3 linked regions of the Schizosaccharomyces pombe genome follow. The protein of the gene in region 1 purifies or fractionates together with the protein of each later gene. This does not show direct contact. Each region holds a gene or a part of one and is shown on either strand. Other genes may lie near its edges.

The links.
Region 2: the proteins of paa1 (region 1) and ppa2 purify together in Schizosaccharomyces pombe (affinity purification with mass spectrometry, with the first as the bait; 3 studies listed by BioGRID). This does not show direct contact.
Region 3: the proteins of paa1 (region 1) and fba1 purify together in Schizosaccharomyces pombe (affinity purification with mass spectrometry, with the first as the bait; 3 studies listed by BioGRID). This does not show direct contact.

Annotation. Positions count from the first base shown.
Region 1 is NC_003424.3:5,328,900-5,335,323, reverse strand, and holds paa1 (serine/threonine protein phosphatase PP2A scaffold subunit Paa1), read left to right. Parts: upstream 1-2,584; 5' UTR 2,585-2,658; coding exon 2,659-2,673; exon of another isoform or gene 2,674-2,724; coding exon 2,725-2,772; exon of another isoform or gene 2,773-2,826; coding exon 2,827-2,932; exon of another isoform or gene 2,933-2,944; intron 2,945-3,040; coding exon 3,041-3,944; exon of another isoform or gene 3,945-4,005; coding exon 4,006-4,106; intron 4,107-4,161; coding exon 4,162-4,499; exon of another isoform or gene 4,500-4,544; coding exon 4,545-4,805; 3' UTR 4,806-5,228; downstream 5,229-6,424. Other genes in the region: GTPase Mtg2, read left to right, coding at 1-344; phosphatidic acid transfer protein Ups1, read right to left, coding at 564-996, 1,064-1,146; myosin II light chain cdc4, read right to left, coding at 5,418-5,446, 5,519-5,611, 5,678-5,818, 5,892-6,023, 6,076-6,106. UniProt on the Schizosaccharomyces pombe protein: Phosphatase 2A affects a variety of biological processes in the cell such as transcription, cell cycle progression and cellular morphogenesis, and provides an initial identification of critical substrates for this phosphatase.
Region 2 is NC_003423.3:2,284,663-2,292,009, forward strand, and holds ppa2 (serine/threonine protein phosphatase PP2A catalytic subunit Ppa2), read left to right. Parts: upstream 1-2,289; 5' UTR 2,290-2,354; coding exon 2,355-2,495; exon of another isoform or gene 2,496-2,656; intron 2,657-2,787; coding exon 2,788-3,615; 3' UTR 3,616-4,709; coding exon of another isoform or gene 4,710-5,396; 3' UTR 5,397-5,783; downstream 5,784-7,347. Other genes in the region: SPOM_SPBC16H5.08C (ATP-binding cassette sub-family F protein), read left to right, coding at 1-1,683; Rieske iron-sulfur protein, ubiquinol-cytochrome-c reductase complex subunit 5, Rip1, read right to left, coding at 4,710-5,396; protein gem8, read right to left, coding at 6,141-6,641; cyclophilin family peptidyl-prolyl cis-trans isomerase Cyp7, read left to right, coding at 6,916-6,921, 6,962-6,990, 7,033-7,137, 7,228-7,347. UniProt on the Schizosaccharomyces pombe protein: Essential role in cell cycle control. PP2A may be involved in controlling the entry into mitosis, possibly acting as an inhibitor.
Region 3 is NC_003423.3:1,686,034-1,691,163, forward strand, and holds fba1 (fructose-bisphosphate aldolase Fba1), read left to right. Parts: upstream 1-2,287; 5' UTR 2,288-2,333; coding exon 2,334-3,410; 3' UTR 3,411-3,566; downstream 3,567-5,130. Other genes in the region: protein mug124, read right to left, coding at 735-1,172; U4/U5/U6 small nuclear ribonucleoprotein complex subunit PRP38, read left to right, coding at 4,115-4,256, 4,455-4,945. UniProt on the Schizosaccharomyces pombe protein: Catalyzes the aldol condensation of dihydroxyacetone phosphate (DHAP or glycerone-phosphate) with glyceraldehyde 3-phosphate (G3P) to form fructose 1,6-bisphosphate (FBP) in gluconeogenesis and the reverse reaction in glycolysis.

The sequences.
Region 1 (6,424 bases):
GAAAAGGATTGGGTTACGATTTTTTAAGGCATGTAGAACGTGCAAAGATGCTTTGCCTGGTAATTGATATAAACCCAAAGGCTAAAATTCCAGCAGATCAGGCTTTTCAATTGCTTTGGGATGAGCTGAATAAGTACGAAAAAAATTTAATTAATAAGGTAGCTCTCGTAATCGCTAATAAAGCCGATACAGCAGCTGAGCAAGACCTACTTTTGCTTAAGGCTATTGTTGAAAGAACTACGAAAGGGGTAGCTGTTTTGCCGGTCAGTGCAAAGAAGCAAGAAGGGTTGGAAGGATTAGTACGTGGAATGACTCAACTTCTCCAACAACGATTACTCGTATGAGCTGTGATACATAGAATTACCAACAAAATTTGCTTCATTGTTTTTAGAGGAAAAAAGAATTTATTCCAAAAAATTATTAACGCATTTAATCAATATGTAATAAAATGGTGCTTTTTAATTTGTACAACACGTTATCGTTGTATGAGAAATTTGTAAATGATTAACGTTTCCTTTTTTTTCTTTTGCGAACCCTTTGAGTTTTATTATATAAGTAACAATTTAAGAAGGTTGAAACTTTTGTTGGATTACATATAAAAGCCCGCGACGAGAGCTCGATAGCTGTTCTTGAAATCGTTTTAGACTGTACTTTTGAACCCTACGACCAAGACCAAATCTTAAGGGTGAGACAAACTTGGCAATCGTGTCTACTATAGTTTTTGAGCAGTTTTCTGAGCTTTGGATAAATCGACTGTACTCTATTACGCGGAGAATTTTCACATGATCCAAATTGAACGTTTCGGATTTTAATTCCTGCTTTGAGGGATCAATGACAGATCTTTCGAGTATGTAAGACTTGTTAACATTCAAAAGATCCGATGCCCATCTGGGCAGTCTTCCCTGTTTAACAAGTAATCTTTCGGTATATAGTCGACCTTCATCATCCACATATCGCTCGAGTACATCAGCTGAGACTACGTGAAGACTATACGGACTAACTATTGTTAATAAAAGAACATTAACACAATAAAAATGAACCTCATAGTTTATGATCGACGTACTTTGGATATCTAGTGAGCCAAGCTGAAGAGACTGTATTCCAGGAAGCATTTAACTCGGTTTTGTCAGTACATATTGCAGTCATATCAGAAAATCAATCATTTGCTTTTAATTTTTTTTTGAAAAATAAATATGCTAAAAAGCCTTTTAGCCAGTCTTCCCTCAAAATATTTCACCCAAAAAGATTTACTGACGAAAGATTGGTATAATGGACAATTTATTGACTTAATAAATAACGTGATATAAGGTGCTCGTTATTTTCACTTGTGAAAACATCACATGTTAGTATTGTAAAACAGATAATCAGTGGCGATGCTCAAAGAATTTTTTGCATTATATTCAATGATAAATTTTTGATATTCATTCTATAAACTATATGCTCTATGATAAGCGAAGTATTATGGTGCGAGTAGAGGATTGTTCACTCAAATTAAAGTGCGTTGAAGAAAAAAAAAATACCTGTAATTTATTGTAAACACTACCTAAACTGATCGGTCATCTCTGAAAACACCAAACTTCGTTATGAAGATATATCACCCATTTTAAGTGATATTGCTATAGTCACCAAACATAACTAGCACATTGTATTAAATATTTTAGTTTGGTAGTTATATTACACAATCGAGGTACTTGTTAGAAAATTTGAAGTAACAATATTTTGTTAAACATTAAAACAAACGAATCGATTGCGGCAGTCAATAATTAATTATACGACCATCTTAAAAACGAAGTATTAATGAAAAAAAACTGTTGAACCAAACTGAAGGACCTCAATTTGAGAATCCAACACATTCATCCTGAGGTAGACGAAATAAACTTGCAATATAATGAAACCCCAGTTATGTAAGGTATCGTAAACAAATGAAAAATGATCAAATTTTTCTCACTAAGTGTGTATAGCAGTTTTGCTTAACATTTCGACAATAGCTCCAATATTAATAAATCCGAATTATCTTCTTGCATTAAATATAGCGAAAGTTTTCGGTTTGAAACATGCGAAGTTTGGAAAAAGCTTTTTAATGGCTATAATCACTTAATTATGTTTTGTTTTTTGGGTAATTTCATAGTTTGAAATAAATATGACTGTGTAATATACCATTCAGCCAGTTGCGATACATCAATATGGCAATTGAATCCTTTATTATCATACAAATTTCCAAAAAAATAATCAATTAACATACTCATGCAAAATCGTTTGATGTCATATAAAAGCTTTAGCATTGGTAGAAATGTGATTCCAAACCATATCCCTTAAACAATACTTCTCAAAAACAAAGATTAAATTAGGTCAGGAATAAAGAGAGAAGACATAAAAAGAATTCGTGATGCTAGACAATTCAGTATGTAAACATTTAAGTGGAATTTATGTTCAGTCAAAACTCTGAAAAGCAGAGTATATTATAAACACAAAATAGTTTTTTAGAATTATTCAAAATGATTCATGTTAAGGAAAACCTTTGAGATACTTGCTTGGAAAACTGTTTCAATTTGGTAGCGTCCGCTGTAACACACACTCCTTCTTCACCTCGAAAAGTTTAAAACTTCCTACCCACTTTATTTGCTTGTTTGCTAAGAACGAGTTGTTCTATTATATAAAATGCAAACAGAGAATGTGTGTTACAAAATGTCTCTTTTACAATTTATTAACCACGACTATTTATAGCAAGTGAACGATTTGTATCCGATTGCTGTTTTGATTGATGAGTTAAAGGTTGGTAACAAATTGTTTTACGTCTGATATGTTCAACTCTGACTATTGTTAAAGCATGATGAAATTACTTATAGGCTCAATGCTTTGGAACGGTTATCGACAATTGCTCTCGCTTTAGGTCCTGAACGTACAAGGGATGAGTTGATTCCCTTTTTAGATGGTATGCATTCAATAATAAAATTATGGAACTATAGGTTTAAATTTTTAAAATTCTTTATATTTTTTAATAAACGATGTATGTTTGTCGGCTAACATTCCTTGAATACAGAATCGATTGACGATGAGGACGAAGTCCTATCAGCTCTCGCCGACCAGTTAGGAAATTTTGTAGATTATGTTGGAGGCCCTGAGTATGCGCATGTCCTTTTGTCTCCCCTTGAAAATCTTGCTGCAACTGAAGAAACGGTAGTCCGCGATAAAGCCGTTGACTCTCTCAATAAAGTATGTATTTGCCTATCCCAAGAACAATTAGAGCAATATTTTGTTCCATTGGTTCAACGTCTTTCAACCGCTGAGTGGTTTACCTCTCGTGCGTCCTCTGCTGGGCTTTACTGCGCGGCATATTCTCAGTCAGAAAATCCTGCTGTCAAAGTCTCTCTTCGTCAAAGTTTTAGTCATCTATGTCACGACGAAGCTCCCATGGTCCGTCGTCCTGCAGCAACGAACTGTGCCAAGTTTGTTTTTTTGGTAACTAAACAGGAGGCTATTGACGAATTCATTCCATTGTTCAACTCCCTTTCTAATGATGACCAAGACTCAGTTCGGCTCCTTTCTTTCGACATTATGGTTTCTTTGGCGGAGGTATTAAAATCTGACTCGGAAATTCGTCACTATTTGCTTCAACCATTAAGGTCTTTTGTTTCGGATAGCAGCTGGAGAACACGTTATATGGTTGCTGCTAATTTTGTAAAACTTGCTAAAGTAGTTGGACCATCTCTTATTAAAGATGAACTTATTAAACCATTCGTACTGCTCATGAAGGATACCGAGCAGGAAGTCCGCCGTGCTATTGCTACTCAAATACCAGGATTTTGCGAATTGTTGGATAAGCGAATTGTTCTTGAAGAGATTATTCCAGTTATTCAAGAGTTAATTAATGATCCCGCTCAACATGTCCGTGCTGCTTTAGGGATGAACATAGGTGCTCTCGCCCCACAATTAGGAAAGGAAAAGTATGTCTGCTAAAAATAACTTTTCTTTTAAAAACCTCATTTTACTAATCGTTATATTTAGGACTACAGAGTATCTTTTACCAATGTTTTTGGAATTACTTAAAGATGAAAACCCTGAAGTTCGTCTTAACATTATTTCGAAATTGGAAGTTGTAAACAAAGGTAAATTGCAAATTCAAAATATAGCTATTGCTACAGTTATACTAACTCACTTTAGTCGTTGGTATCGAATTACTTTCACAATCTTTATTGCCTGCAATTGTTACACTTGCTGAAGATAAACAATGGCGTGTTCGTCTTGCTATCATTGACTACATTCCACTACTTGCTCAGCAGCTTGGGGTCGAATTTTTTAATGAGAAAATGGGCAATTTATGTATGTCATGGTTAGAGGACCATGTATATTCTATTCGTGAAGCTGCGATAAAGAATTTGCGAAAACTTACGGAAATTTTTGGGTTGGAATGGGCAACTGAGACAATTATTCCAAAGTTTTTGGCTATGCGAAGCCATCCAAATTATTTATACCGAATGACAACTATTTTTGCGATCAGTGTAAGTTTTTCTTTTTTGCTTTTTTCCAGTTCTAACGTATTTTAGGAAATCGCACCTGCATTGAATGCTGAAGTAATTGAAAAACAAATTCTTCCAACTTTGGAACAGTTGGTTAATGACCCTATTCCTAATATTCGCTTTAACGTTGCCAAGGCGTTTGAAGTTCTTAAGCCTGTTTTGGCAGCTGGTGGTGACTCGACCGTATATGAACAGCAAATCATCCCATTGCTCGAACAACTTACAAAAGATAATGACCCTGATGTTCAATATTTTGCTACTCAGGCCTTAGAGCAAACAAATGACTAATTGTTGGGTTATATGATTGCATGTCTAAATGAGCCAAAAGTTTTACCTTTATGATTTGTGTTCACTATGTAAAAATGCAAAAGAATGGACTGTCTTGACTCTGGCCATTCGTTCGACATCAAGTGTCAAGCCCTACATCTAATTCAAAGCATCGTATTGACACACAGTAAATTAGATATACAAGATATACACGATATGGCAAAATTGGAGCCGAATGCATCAAGAAAGCTGGCATCAACCGTAATTACTTACGAAAAGTGTAATTTTGAATGAAAACTTATATTTACATCTGGAGAGATTCAAACAATTTAAGCAGCTGAGATATAAGGTCATTTGCATGAGATAACAAATGGTTGTTAATCATATTCATAAATATACGAATATAGAAGGATATCTCTATTTCCGTATGCTAAACGATATGTGTAGAAATTCCTGCGAGTATCGAAAAGTCCAGTTATCTGTATTCAGGAACATATTGCTTCATAGTCCCAAGTGTATCAGATGGAAAAGCTGAACGAAAGTAAACTATTGAAGACATAAAATTGAAATAAAGGTGTAAATAATAAAGGAGAAACATATGCCGGGTAAATTATGCAAACTATGTAGATTTAATTAATTGGCAAGAATCATTTGAACGAAATCTAAAGGAAGCAGTTAGTATAATTAAGTATAGGTAGTTGATTGCCGAAGCCCAGAGTAGTAATAGAGCATACCGTGATAATTAACCATGCCATCTTTTACGGGAACACCCTTTAATAACTCGTCCATTTCTTCGTTGCTGAGTTTTTCACCCAAAGAAGTTAAAACTGATACAATTAGTTTCGCATTTTTTTATCAATCTGAAAAAAGGATAGATCTCTATAAATACATACCATAGCGCAATTCACCCACTCCAATCATGCCAGTGGCATCTTTATCAAACACCTGGAAGCCCTTCACGAATTCCTCTGGGTCACCAGGCATATCAAACCCATTGGGACGATTTAACACTTGAAGGAATTGTTCCATATCGACTACCAATTAGTATTGTCACTTAATGCACGGCTAAGGAGTATAACTCTCCAAACCCATAACAAGAAATCATACCTTCTGCGGGCAAAGTAGATTCAATTTCAGTAATCTCAGCCAGCGTAGGATTTTGTCCACACGCTCTTAAAAGATCACCAATGGACGTTTTGGGGATGCGACCAGTTCCATGGCGGTCAAATAAAGAAAAAGCTATCTTTTCGTTAATAAACATTTTGAAATGATTTCAAAAAGTAGTTATTACCTTGTTTATAAGGTGAATCGTCTGTCGACATGTTTGACTATTCTAAATGGATTGTTAGGATGAAGGTAAGTGTACTAAGTCGACTGTAATCTGTGTACACGCACCTATAAGCCCCATAGCAACCGTTGCCATGATAATGTTTACTGTATAGCGATCTGTTTAGTAATTTACTAAAGAACGTAGAGCTATGTAAACCAGCTTATATGAACAGAATTGTCATTTACTTTGCCAGATTTTAATTTAGAACATCATTCGTATACAGAATATGAATAGTCATACTAATGTCGAGCTACTTGATAAATTATGAAATGGCTGGCGATTTCACTATTTCTAGTGCAATACAAAATAC
Region 2 (7,347 bases), on another chromosome or scaffold:
TTTGAAAGAAGTGCTTCTGGTGTCTTAACTAGTCAACCAATGAGTCGCGATATTAAAATTGACAGTTACACCCTTTCTTTTCACGGACGTCTGTTGATAGAGAATGCCACTATCGAACTCAACCATGGTCAACGCTATGGTCTTTTGGGTGATAACGGTTCCGGTAAAAGTACATTCTTGGAATCCGTGGCTGCTCGTGATGTGGAATATCCAGAACACATTGATAGCTACTTGTTGAACGCAGAGGCTGAACCCTCTGATGTTAATGCTGTCGACTATATTATTCAGTCAGCAAAAGACAAGGTTCAAAAATTGGAAGCCGAAATTGAAGAGTTATCAACTGCCGATGATGTTGATGATGTTCTATTAGAATCCAAGTATGAAGAGTTGGATGATATGGATCCTAGCACCTTTGAGGCAAAAGCAGCTATGATTTTGCATGGTTTGGGATTTACCCAGGAAATGATGGCCAAACCCACAAAGGACATGTCTGGTGGTTGGCGTATGCGTGTTGCACTTTCTCGTGCTCTTTTCATCAAACCCTCTTTGCTTCTTTTGGACGAACCTACCAACCATTTGGACTTAGAAGCCGTTGTTTGGTTGGAGAATTACTTAGCGAAATACGACAAAATTCTTGTTGTCACTTCCCACTCTCAAGATTTCCTCAACAACGTCTGTACCAATATTATTGATTTAACTTCTAAAAAGCAGCTTGTCTACTATGGTGGTAATTTCGACATTTATATGCGTACTAAGGAAGAAAATGAAACCAATCAGATGAAGGCTTACTTAAAACAGCAAGAGGAAATTGCTCATATTAAAAAGTTTATTGCTAGTGCTGGTACCTATGCAAACTTGGTACGCCAAGCCAAGTCGAAACAAAAGATTATCGATAAAATGGAGGCTGCCGGTTTAGTTGAGAAGCCCGAACCTCCTCGTCAATTCAGCTTTGAATTTGATGAAGTTCGCAAATTACCACCACCTATCATTGCTTTTAACGACGTTGCTTTCTCTTATGATGGTAATCTTGATCACGCTTTGTACCGTGACTTGTCCTTTGGTATCGATATGGACTCCCGTGTCGCCATTGTGGGTAAAAATGGTACCGGAAAGTCTACATTGTTGAACTTAATCACTGGGCTTTTGATTCCCATTGAAGGCAATGTCTCTCGTTACAGTGGATTGAAGATGGCTAAATACTCTCAGCACAGTGCCGATCAGCTTCCCTATGACAAGTCTCCACTTGAATACATCATGGATACTTACAAGCCTAAATTTCCCGAGAGAGAACTTCAGCAATGGCGCAGCGTTTTGGGCAAATTCGGTTTGTCTGGTCTTCACCAAACCAGTGAAATCCGTACTTTATCTGATGGCTTGAAAAGCCGTGTTGTGTTTGCAGCACTCGCTTTGGAACAACCCCACATTCTTTTACTTGATGAACCTACGAATCACTTGGATATTACCTCTATTGATGCCCTAGCCAAAGCCATTAACGTATGGACTGGTGGTGTTGTTTTGGTTTCTCACGATTTCCGTCTAATTGGTCAAGTTTCTAAAGAGTTGTGGGAAGTTAAAGACAAGAAGGTTGTGAAATTGGACTGCTCCATTGAGGAATATAAGAAGTCGATGGCCAAAGAAGTTCAATCTCGTGATACTACTGCCAAAGTTAAGCATTTGATTTAGTTAATTTATAGATTTTTGGTTAGGGAATATGTGATACATTTTGAGTAGTGGGATTAATATAAAATGTTTATTACTTATTTGAAAGTGTTTAAGAAGCGTATTGCTTTTGGTCTCATCGTTGTAATTGTCAAGCTCTATCATTGAGTGAAGCTATTAAGCCAAAATTTCATCTCTGTGTACTGTTCAAGAATTGTCGTTAAGTCCGATTTAGAGTGGAATTATCTTTTTCCACCGACTATAGGTAAACTGTACTTCTCAGCATTTATGCGTGAAACTTTATACAGCATCGGTTTTGAAAACTATGTACGCTTCTTCTCGAAAAGACTAATAATAACCCATTCTATTAAAAAATGCCAGTGAGCTCGTAATTTCTCTAGTACCTTAGAAAACGCTACACAGCAATCTCGTGAATTCACATAGTAAGCGCAAACTGTTGAGAAAAATCCAGGTTAGTAATCAATAAATAAGAAATGCAAATATTCTATATTATTAATTGTATACCAGATCGCTATGCTGTTTACACATAAAGTCGATTTGCCATAGCTTGTTAGCAAGCTGATGATACGCAAGAGTAGCCTGTCACCTCTGTAACGGTCTCAACTTACCAAAAGCAACACACGGTTAGAAAGACTTATAACTTGCTTTTTACTATATACAAAATTCCATAATTAATGTCTATAGATCCAGCAAATGATAGTAAGCTTGCTCCGGAGGCGAATGACGCTACTCTAGGAGACGTTGACAGATGGATCGAACAGTTGAAAAAATGCGAGCCTCTGAGCGAAGCTGACGTTGAAATGTTATGCGATAAGGTAAGTGAACACTAAGGAGAGTATATATGTGTATCAGGCTTGGTTGGATATATCCCAACTTTGCAAGTTCTCATTTTCTCTTGATTTCTTGAGATTGTTCAGTTTGATATGTTTGAGTTTGAACTATCCAGCTTATTTCGGTTTGATTTCTAAAAAGATTAATATTACATTAATGTCGGGTTTCTAGAAATCTCATCCTATAAATATATGGTGGTTAAAAATTACGTCGGAGACTCTCATCTATACCAGCATTTTTCGTGTTTTCGCAGTTTTTGCTAACCATTTTTTCTAGGCTCGTGAGGTTTTATGTCAGGAAAATAATGTCCAACCTGTCCGAAATCCAGTTACTGTTTGCGGTGATATTCATGGACAGTTTCATGATCTGATGGAATTATTTAAAATTGGAGGTGATGTGCCTGATATGAACTATCTTTTTATGGGTGACTATGTTGACAGAGGTTATCACAGCGTCGAAACTGTAAGTTTGCTTGTTGCAATGAAGTTACGCTACCCTAACCGAATTACGATTCTTCGAGGAAATCATGAATCTAGACAAATCACTCAAGTTTACGGATTTTATGATGAATGTTTGCGTAAATATGGATCCGCTAATGTTTGGAAACATTTCACAAATTTATTTGACTATTTCCCTTTAACTGCTTTAATTGAAGACCGTATTTTCTGCCTACATGGAGGTCTTTCCCCGAGCATTGATTCATTAGACCATGTACGGACTTTGGATCGTGTACAAGAAGTTCCCCATGAAGGTCCGATGTGTGATTTGCTTTGGTCAGACCCTGATGATAGATGTGGTTGGGGAATTTCTCCTCGTGGTGCCGGATACACCTTCGGACAAGACATTTCTGAGACATTTAATCACGCAAATGGATTAAGTTTAACGGCACGAGCCCATCAGCTAGTTATGGAAGGATTTAATTGGGCACATGATGGAGACGTAGTTACAATTTTTTCTGCCCCAAATTATTGTTATCGCTGTGGTAATCAAGCAGCTATTTTGGAAGTTGATGATACGATGAATCAAGTCTTTTTACAATTCGATCCTGCCCCACGAGAAGGCGAACCGGTAATAGCTCGAAGGACACCAGACTACTTCCTTTAAAAGTTTCAATTCTCTAATGAGTGATCAATCGATTGTGATTGTTTCAAAAAATTTATCCACCTTTCTGATTTTTGAGTTAATACTCAAGATTAAAAAGACTACTTTGTACATCCTCCGCATACGAATCTTCAGACTGTCTTTTCATTTCCAGGACTTGTCAAGTACCTTTTTTGCAAGGAAATCTTAAAATCCTTATATGTATTCCACTTCAAGCCATTGCAACCGTGTCTTATACGTACGTGAAATATTCTTGTTAATTTTGATAAGCACACTAGGATTTTTGGTTGTGGACTTATTTCTTCGAGAAATATCTGCTATTTAATATGTCGTGATAGCGATTAACGACTGCTGCATAGTTGGATGGTATTGTTTTGAGACAATATTATGAGTTAGAATTAGGCATGCTTAAGCAGTCATGTGCTGTAATGAATTAAACATCCTAAAGCTTTATGACCAAACTTTTTAAGCCAGCTTCATGATTCCATATTTGTAGAAGTTTGTCTATAAAGAACTTTTAAAGAAAAAAAATGGTTTATTTGTCTAGATATTTATTTATTATTGATACTTGTCAGATAAACCTACAATAACTACATATTTGAATTGTACAACTTTTTTATTCAAGTATAAGGGGATACTTTTGCATTTCACAAACCTTGAAGGCAAGAAGAGTACTCAAGGATTATATATATTTTTAGCGGTTTAAGAAACTACCACCAAAGGGAAAGTAAAGTTACATTAGACTACGATAAAATAAGAACCATCTGACTTGCATGAATCAGGCGTCACATACAAAATTATTGATTTACGTCTTGGAATAAGAGATTCAAGGTTGCATTAATTGAGAATGAGAAGGGGGTTTGTATCAGTAAATGACTATAACAAGAAAAAGGAAGTCTGCAATTGCCATCTTGACTGCTGTATAAGCCAAATGGACCAACAAAGGCTATGAGAAAGTGCATTGGACAAATAAAAATAAGAAGCAAGTAAGACAGCATATGACTTGATCCCCAACAGGCTAAAGAAGAAGTAAAAGAGAGGGGAGAAAAAGGAGGGAGGAAATCAGCTAGGACAAAAGTTTTTGAGCGAAATAAATTTTATCCGATGATAATTTTGCTTCCTTCAAACGTATAAGCAGGAATCGCCAAGTTAAGAGGTGCAGGACCACGGCGAATACGACCAGAGATATCATAATGAGAACCGTGACAAGGGCAGAACCATCCGCCATAGTCACCAGCTTCGCCAATGGGTACACAACCAAGATGAGTACAGACACCAATCATAACAAGCCACTCGGGTTTTTGAACACGGTCAGAGTCCGCTTGAGGATCCCTAAGAGTGCTAATATCTACAGAATTGGCTTCTTGGATTTCTTCAGGAGTACGATGACGGATAAAAACAGGCTTACCCTGCCATTTGACGACAAGGTTCTTTCCCTCTGGAATTTTCGACAAATCAACCTCGGCCTTCGACATAGCCAACACATCAGCAGATGCAGACCAACTCGCCAAGAAATCATGAACAGTAGCTTGAGCTCCAGCGGCTGTAAGAGCACCCATTGTGCCTACCATGGCATAAGATATAACACGAGAACGATCACCAGTGCTCTTTGTTTGATACTCCGAAAAGTCTGGCATTTCCGGAGAGTCAGTATATGTACGAATAGAGGTAAATTTTGGGATGGTCATCATTGAGCCCTTCAACGACGAAGCAGTGCTTGAAACGGGAAGCAACCGTCTTAACGAAGATGCTAACGACTTAGAAATAAATTGCTTGGCCAGCATTTTTACAACGTTTTAAAGAGAAACAGGTTGTTGAAATATTCGGTGGGTAGCGGTTGGGGAAGAAACGTCAAGCTGCCTCTGGTTTAAAAATGGCGGCGTTTGTGGGTGCTGTGATTTGCTAAGAAGGTTAGTTGTATTTACCGAATTCACCGATTGATGAAACTACATATCCGAAGTTCTCCGAAAAATAACGAAGTACACAATAAAAAATTAACATAATTTTACAGCTACTTTTAACGATCAGTACAGTATAGTGCTAGACTGTGCAGTACATATATCATCACGAATCGAAAATCCTATATCTTTCAAATTCCAATATTATGGTACGCTAGAGATCATTTTGTTTTATCAGATATAATTTTCCAGTCTATTTTACTAGGTTCCGTATAAGAACATAGCTGGATTTACGTTCTTCCGTCCAGCTATAAACTATTTGGAGATTATAATATTATCCAATATTTAGATGTTTACAGTAGTATCATTCATCACTTTACAAGGTACAGCACCTGCATAAAACAATACAACAGTATTAGATTGAAAATTATCGTATTCTTTCACTAGCCTTAATTATTTTAAGGAATTGGTATATATCATTAATCATAGTTCAATGTAGAAGAAATGCAATATACTTATGTATAATGTATTCATGAAGATTGGTGACATTTATTGAATATTAAGCGTATCCTTCATTAATATGCAGGAAATTTTTCTACTCTATTGAACATCATCAATTCATAAAACGTTCTATCCTCGTATTGGTGTTGCCGGCCAATATTTGATAGGTAATGCAGTAAACTTGCGAAAAATATTATCAAGTATTTTTTCTTCCTCTAAAATTTCATAAGCCGAGTAATGGAACTGGTTTTGATATATTTCGATATCTTTCAATTCTTTTAATGAGATTGGTGTTTTTGGGTTGGTTTCTGGTTTGGAAGAAACCATTCTCTCCTTGTCCAGTGCTTTTTGTCTTAATTCTTTTTCTTTTAACAATTGCTCCTTCTCCTTTTTCCACATTAACTCCCTTTTTTCCGATTCACGGAACCAAAGAATTTGCTCATCTGTTAACGTTCGTATAGTCCCATCAGGATAGCGCTCTACACTTTGTGTATACTCAACGTTTGCACTTTCTGAATTTCCCCCACGATCGTTTTGCGCGAAAGCAACATTCCATAGGTTTACTGCTTTTGCATTAAAATGCTCATCATGGAATTTCTGTAAGTCTCCTTCTGTAATTTCAGAACTCATTAAAAGTTCCGTGGTTTTACACAATATTGGATTCAGTAAGGATTACTTTGCTAGTTGTAACAAGTTGCGATGAAATCAATTTGATGAACGAGCAAAGCTACGCTAGAACATTTAATGAATCACCCAAATTAAAATACTGTATCGTAGTGAATTTGATAACCCAATTAAAGCAAAACAAGGTAATACGTTAGGATTATACTAACAACGCAAACTTACAAGATGAGTAGTTTCTTTAAGAATTTAGCGATCCTTAATATTTGATGTACTTTATGGAATGGCCGTAAGTATATTTTTCTTGCTCCCTTCGACTAATCTCTCAGACTTTGACCAACTTGGAGCCTTTGGCAACGTATGTTTTTCAGATTTCCAGTTACTTTTACTAACATTATAGGGGGACTGTCATCCTTAAAACTACTCGCGGCGATATCCAGATAGAACTTTGGTGCAAAGAAGTGCCGAAGGCCTGTAGAAACTTTATACAGTTATGCTTGGAAGGGTAAGTTAAATCGTTGATGAGCAACGTTGTAGTCCCAAATGTTGCAACATTAAACTGCTTCGGGTTTACAAATATACTAATTAAATACAGTTATTACGATGGAACCATTGTTCATAGAGTTGTACCAGAGTTTTTGATACAGGGTGGAGATCCTACTGGCACTGGAATGGGTGGTGAATCTATATATGGTGAACCTTTTGCTGTAGAAAC
Region 3 (5,130 bases), on another chromosome or scaffold:
ATTGGGTAAGAAAAAGTGTGTGTATGTATGAGTGTATTAGTGAATGAGATTCTGTGCAAACGAAAAAGTAGGATAATAAACTTAATGGATGGAAAATCAATTACACAAACTATGCTGTCTACTTAAAAAAATAAATAAATAAATAAAACCTACAACTCGACAAACCATGCTATCAAATATAAAAAGTCTACAGGCTGTACCACATAATGTGTTTATATATGTGTATATTGTGCTATGAGATGTACTTGTACATAGCTGTAGTTACAACTTGGATATACGTGCTATACCTATTATTTAGTAGAGCGTGCAAGTAAACATATTATACCCTAGTCTTTTAACTCTCTCTATATATTCGTTACGACGACGCTTTGTCTATATGTTATCCTCGATGTGTTACGATGTTACAAGTTACACTGCGTTATGCTACTTATCCAGCGTCTGCAGTCTTACTCTTTCTCTCTCTCTCTCCATTTCCCTCTGCTCTCCCTTTCATTTCACAAGCCCACGTTAACCTCACATAGCCCGCTTACAGTGCATTGCCCTACATCGTTATATCGATGCGTTGCGTTGCCAAAGAGGCGAGGAACAATATTCGTCAAGATTTTGCTTATCTCTAACAACAAGAGTTTATCCGTTCCAACCATTTCCCTGCGGTAATCCAATTGTTATCCGTAGCGAAGGGTTCAAGTGCCGCTGACATCAACCGAGCCCATCTAGGTAACGAGGTATATCGGTCATCGTGTCGGGGTTGCTAAATAGGAATGGTTGCCTTGCAAATCGTTACCTGACCAGAGCTGCAGCGAAAACGTAAACAAAGCGTATGTACGAAGGAAGAAATTGGATGGAAAAAATGAATCGACAAAACAAGGCAAAGCGCAACTCCAAGCAAAGTGACACATGACCGAGCATGAAAACGCAATCCAATGCAATGCCACACATACACTCAGAGATGCAATGCCACGACGATGGAATGGACAATGCAGACCAACGATTTTGAGCAGAGAAATATTAGCTTGACATGATGTGAGATGGGTGGAGATGTGGAATGGAATGGAATGAATGGATGGACATGAAATGAAATTTACCAAGTAAACAAGAGAGTTAATAATAGTAAGAATGATTTGTCTCCTAGTCTCAGCAATAGCAACACTTGACAGTGACTGCAGTCTCATACTCTTCTAGTCAAGTCTCATCCTCTTCCACTCTCTCAATTCCTTTTTATCAATGTTTCTTCCTCTTGTTATGTACACAAACGATGATCTCTTCTCTCACCTCATTGCTGGACTAATATTACTCGTGGCCAAGCGAAACACAAGTGGTACTAGATAACCAAAAAATGATAAAGCATTCAATCAATCAAACCACTTACGAAATTCATACTCCCGTAAACGAATGCCGGTCGGACGCATGGAAAATCATCAATACGTGAGAGAGCTACTTAGTTGTGCACTTTGTATATGTCCAAAAATACTTTTCATTTCACATACCTGCTTGTGTAAAGACAGTGATGAAATGCGGTGCAAAGTGTCTATTCTTACATTGATGGTAAAGCTAATTCAAGCATGCTTGGAAGAAGAATTGCCTTGCATTTCTTGATCATTTGACCCAGGCGACAACTATAAAATAAGAATACTACCGAAGATGCAGATGGGGTGTGTGGGCACAACACCATCGAACCGAACCGAGACGGCCAGACTGTGATAACAAAAGAAATGCATTAGTTTAGTTGGCTGGTTCAAGTTGGTTGAGTAGAAAAATCCATCACTCAAACTGGGAAGTAGGGATGGCTGGGAGAATGGAGAAGCGAGACGAGACGAGACAAGACAAGAGGAGATGAAATGAAATTAATGAAAAGAAATGAATAGAAATGAAATAGACATATGAATAGTATAGGGCAGGTTAGATGTTTGTATTTATAAATGTTTAATGCTTAGGTTTGTATTTATGTTTACGTTGGTAATGTTTCTTTTGTTTGTGTTTGTGCATCGGGTGAACGAGTTGGTTACCGCCGCCGCCGCTTCCTTTTGCCTTGACACACACCACGCAACGTGTTACGGTTCTTGAACGGAATTGCGTACTTCGATGCAGAGCGCTATCGGGGGGATTGGGGATGGTAAATGGAAGAAATCAAAAACTTCTTTTGACGTCAACCCCTAAAACAGGGGACGGTGATTGGTGGTAACCACGGACCGGATAGGTATCGATATGCACATCAGGTGAGAAGTTTTTCCGAGGCCAACTCCGGCTCCATGGTATATAATAGAGGGTTGCGCGCTACTGTTGCAGTATCATACTTCCAAAGGTCGTATAGAACACACACACAAATTAGCAAAATGGGAATTCTCGATATTGTACCTACTGGTGTTATTACAGGTGACAACGTTTTAAAGTTGTTCACCTACGCTCGTGAGCACGGATTCGCCATCCCTGCCATTAACGTCACCTCCTCCTCCACTGCTATTGCTGCTCTTGAGGCTGCTCGTGAGGCTCGTTCCCCCATCATCTTGCAAACCTCCAACGGTGGTGCTCACTTCTTTGCTGGTAAGGAATCCTCCAACGAGGGCCAAAAGGCCTCCATTGCCGGTTCCATCGCCGCTGCCCACTACATCCGTTCCATCGCTCCTTTCTTCGGTGTCCCCGTCGTCATGCACTCTGACCACTGCGCCAAGAAGCTTCTCCCCTGGATGGACGGTATGTTCGAAGCCGATGAGGCCTACTTCAAGATTCACGGTGAGCCTCTTTTCTCTTCTCACATGCTTGACTTGTCCGAGGAGCCCAAGAAGGAGAACATTGCTCAAGTTAAGGAGTACTGCAAGCGTGCCGTTCCCATGAAGATCTGGATCGAGATGGAGATCGGTATCACTGGTGGTGAGGAAGACGGTGTCGACAACTCTCACGTCTCCCACACCGAGCTCTACACTCAACCCGAGGACATCTGGGATGTCTACCGTGAGCTCTCCTCCGTTACCCCTTACTTCTCCATTGCCGCCGCTTTCGGTAACGTCCACGGTGTCTACAAGCCCGGTAACGTCAAGCTCCAACCCGCTCTTTTGGGTCAACACCAAGCCTATGTTAAGGAGCAACTCAAGACCACCAACGACAAGCCCGTTTTCTTCGTCTTCCACGGTGGTTCCGGTTCCTCTGTCAACGAGTTCCGTACTGGTATCAAGTGCGGTGTCGTCAAGGTCAACATTGACACTGATACCCAATTCGCCTACGTCGAGGGTGTCCGTGACTATGTCTTGAAGTACAAGGACTACCTTATGACCCCCGTCGGTAACCCCGAGGGAGCTGACAAGCCCAACAAGAAGAAGTTCGACCCTCGTGTCTGGATCCATGAGGGTGAGAAGACCATGACCAAGCGTGTTCTTACCGCTCTTGAGGACTTCTACACTGTCAACACTCTCTAAATTTGTGGTTTTTGAAAGATGGAAATGATTGAATAGACGGTGGGCTTCATTAAAATTATATTTTTTTGTCCCCTTAATGAGAGTTCATACTGTTTTGAAATTACGTGTTTGAATATAGAGACATTGTTTTTTAAAATTACCATTGTAAAAGCATAAGAGATATTTGAAGTAAAGTAGGGCAAAGTAAGTTAAGAAATTTTTTTGGATTGGATTTGTAAAGTGTTTTTCAAGCATACTGTATATTGTTAAGATTTTTCTTTTTATCCTTTTATTCATCTTCCTTAATTGGTTAATGTGTTCTTAGGTATATAAATTTACAAAAAAAAAATTTCCGATTCCACATGACAATGAATGAATAAATAATATGTCCGTGCGTTTATTTGAATTTAATATATATCGTTTGGCAAATCTCGATGAGTAGCTTAAAACAACATAATCGCTTGAATTTCATGTGCTTTGTGTACACAGTGTGCATTGTTTAGTAGATCAACTTTTTCTTCTTTCATTGCAATGAGTACGGGCATTTTCCCTTTTCCTCCATATTTCACGAATCCATGTTTTTTTTAGATAACCCTTTCTCAATCAAAACTCAGCATGCTTCTTCAGACTTGACCACTTATATTGTCAGTACACTACTGCTCCTTAAAAGCTTACTCCAAGTCAAGACATCAAGGTTGGAGCAATCATTCTCTTCATGAGGTACTATGGCTGATTTTCTTGCTAGAGATTATCGCTCTCAAGGTGAGGCGGCGCATGAAATGCTGCCGACTTTCCTTATAGGAAAAATCTTGAGAGAACGCATAGTAGATTCTATTTACTGGAAAGAACAATGTTTTGGATTGAATGGTATGTGTTCTTCATTGACAGAAAAGGAAAGTGTTTTTACATATTAGAGTTCAAGTACGATTACTTTCCAAATCGATATTTTGAGTGATATAGCCTAAATGAACTTGATTTGGCAAGCAAAGAAACCAAGTATAGGTACTTGCTGTTTTAATCAGTCCTCAAACTGTTATTCCAAATTCACTGACTAATACATCTTAGCTTGTTCATTGGTGGATCGTGCAGTACGGCTTGAATATATAGGTGGTCAGTATGGAAATCAACGGCCCACCGAGTTTATCTGTTTGTTATACAAGCTTTTACAAATTGCACCTGAAAAAGAAATAATTCAACAGTACCTATCTATTCCTGAATTCAAGTATTTACGTGCCCTGGCTGCATTTTACGTTCGGCTTACATGGGATGATGTGGAAGTGCATCAAACGTTGGAACCGCTGTTAAGAGATTATCGGAAATTAAGAATTCGTACTAATTCTGAGATCCGATTAACATATCTGGATGAGGTTGTTGATGATTTGCTAAATGCCGAAGTAGTTTGCGATATTTCCCTGCCCCCATTGCGAAGTCGACTCCAACTTGAAGATTTGGACTTGCTTGAACCACTTTCATCTTCTTCAGACGAAGAAGATGATGATGAAGAACAAATTAGTAAATTGGAGAGCAATGAAGGTGCTGTAGATCGGAATATTTAAGGATAAGTAATATACAAAAAAAGAGTAAAGCGAAGCACGCATTTTGTGATGCGTCTACGATTTAACTTGGAATGACTCTACAAGGAAAAGTTATGGATTGAAATGGTTTTACACTTGAACTTATTAAAAAACAATTTATGAATAACAAACATCTAATCAAATAGATTTGTATATTAATATATATC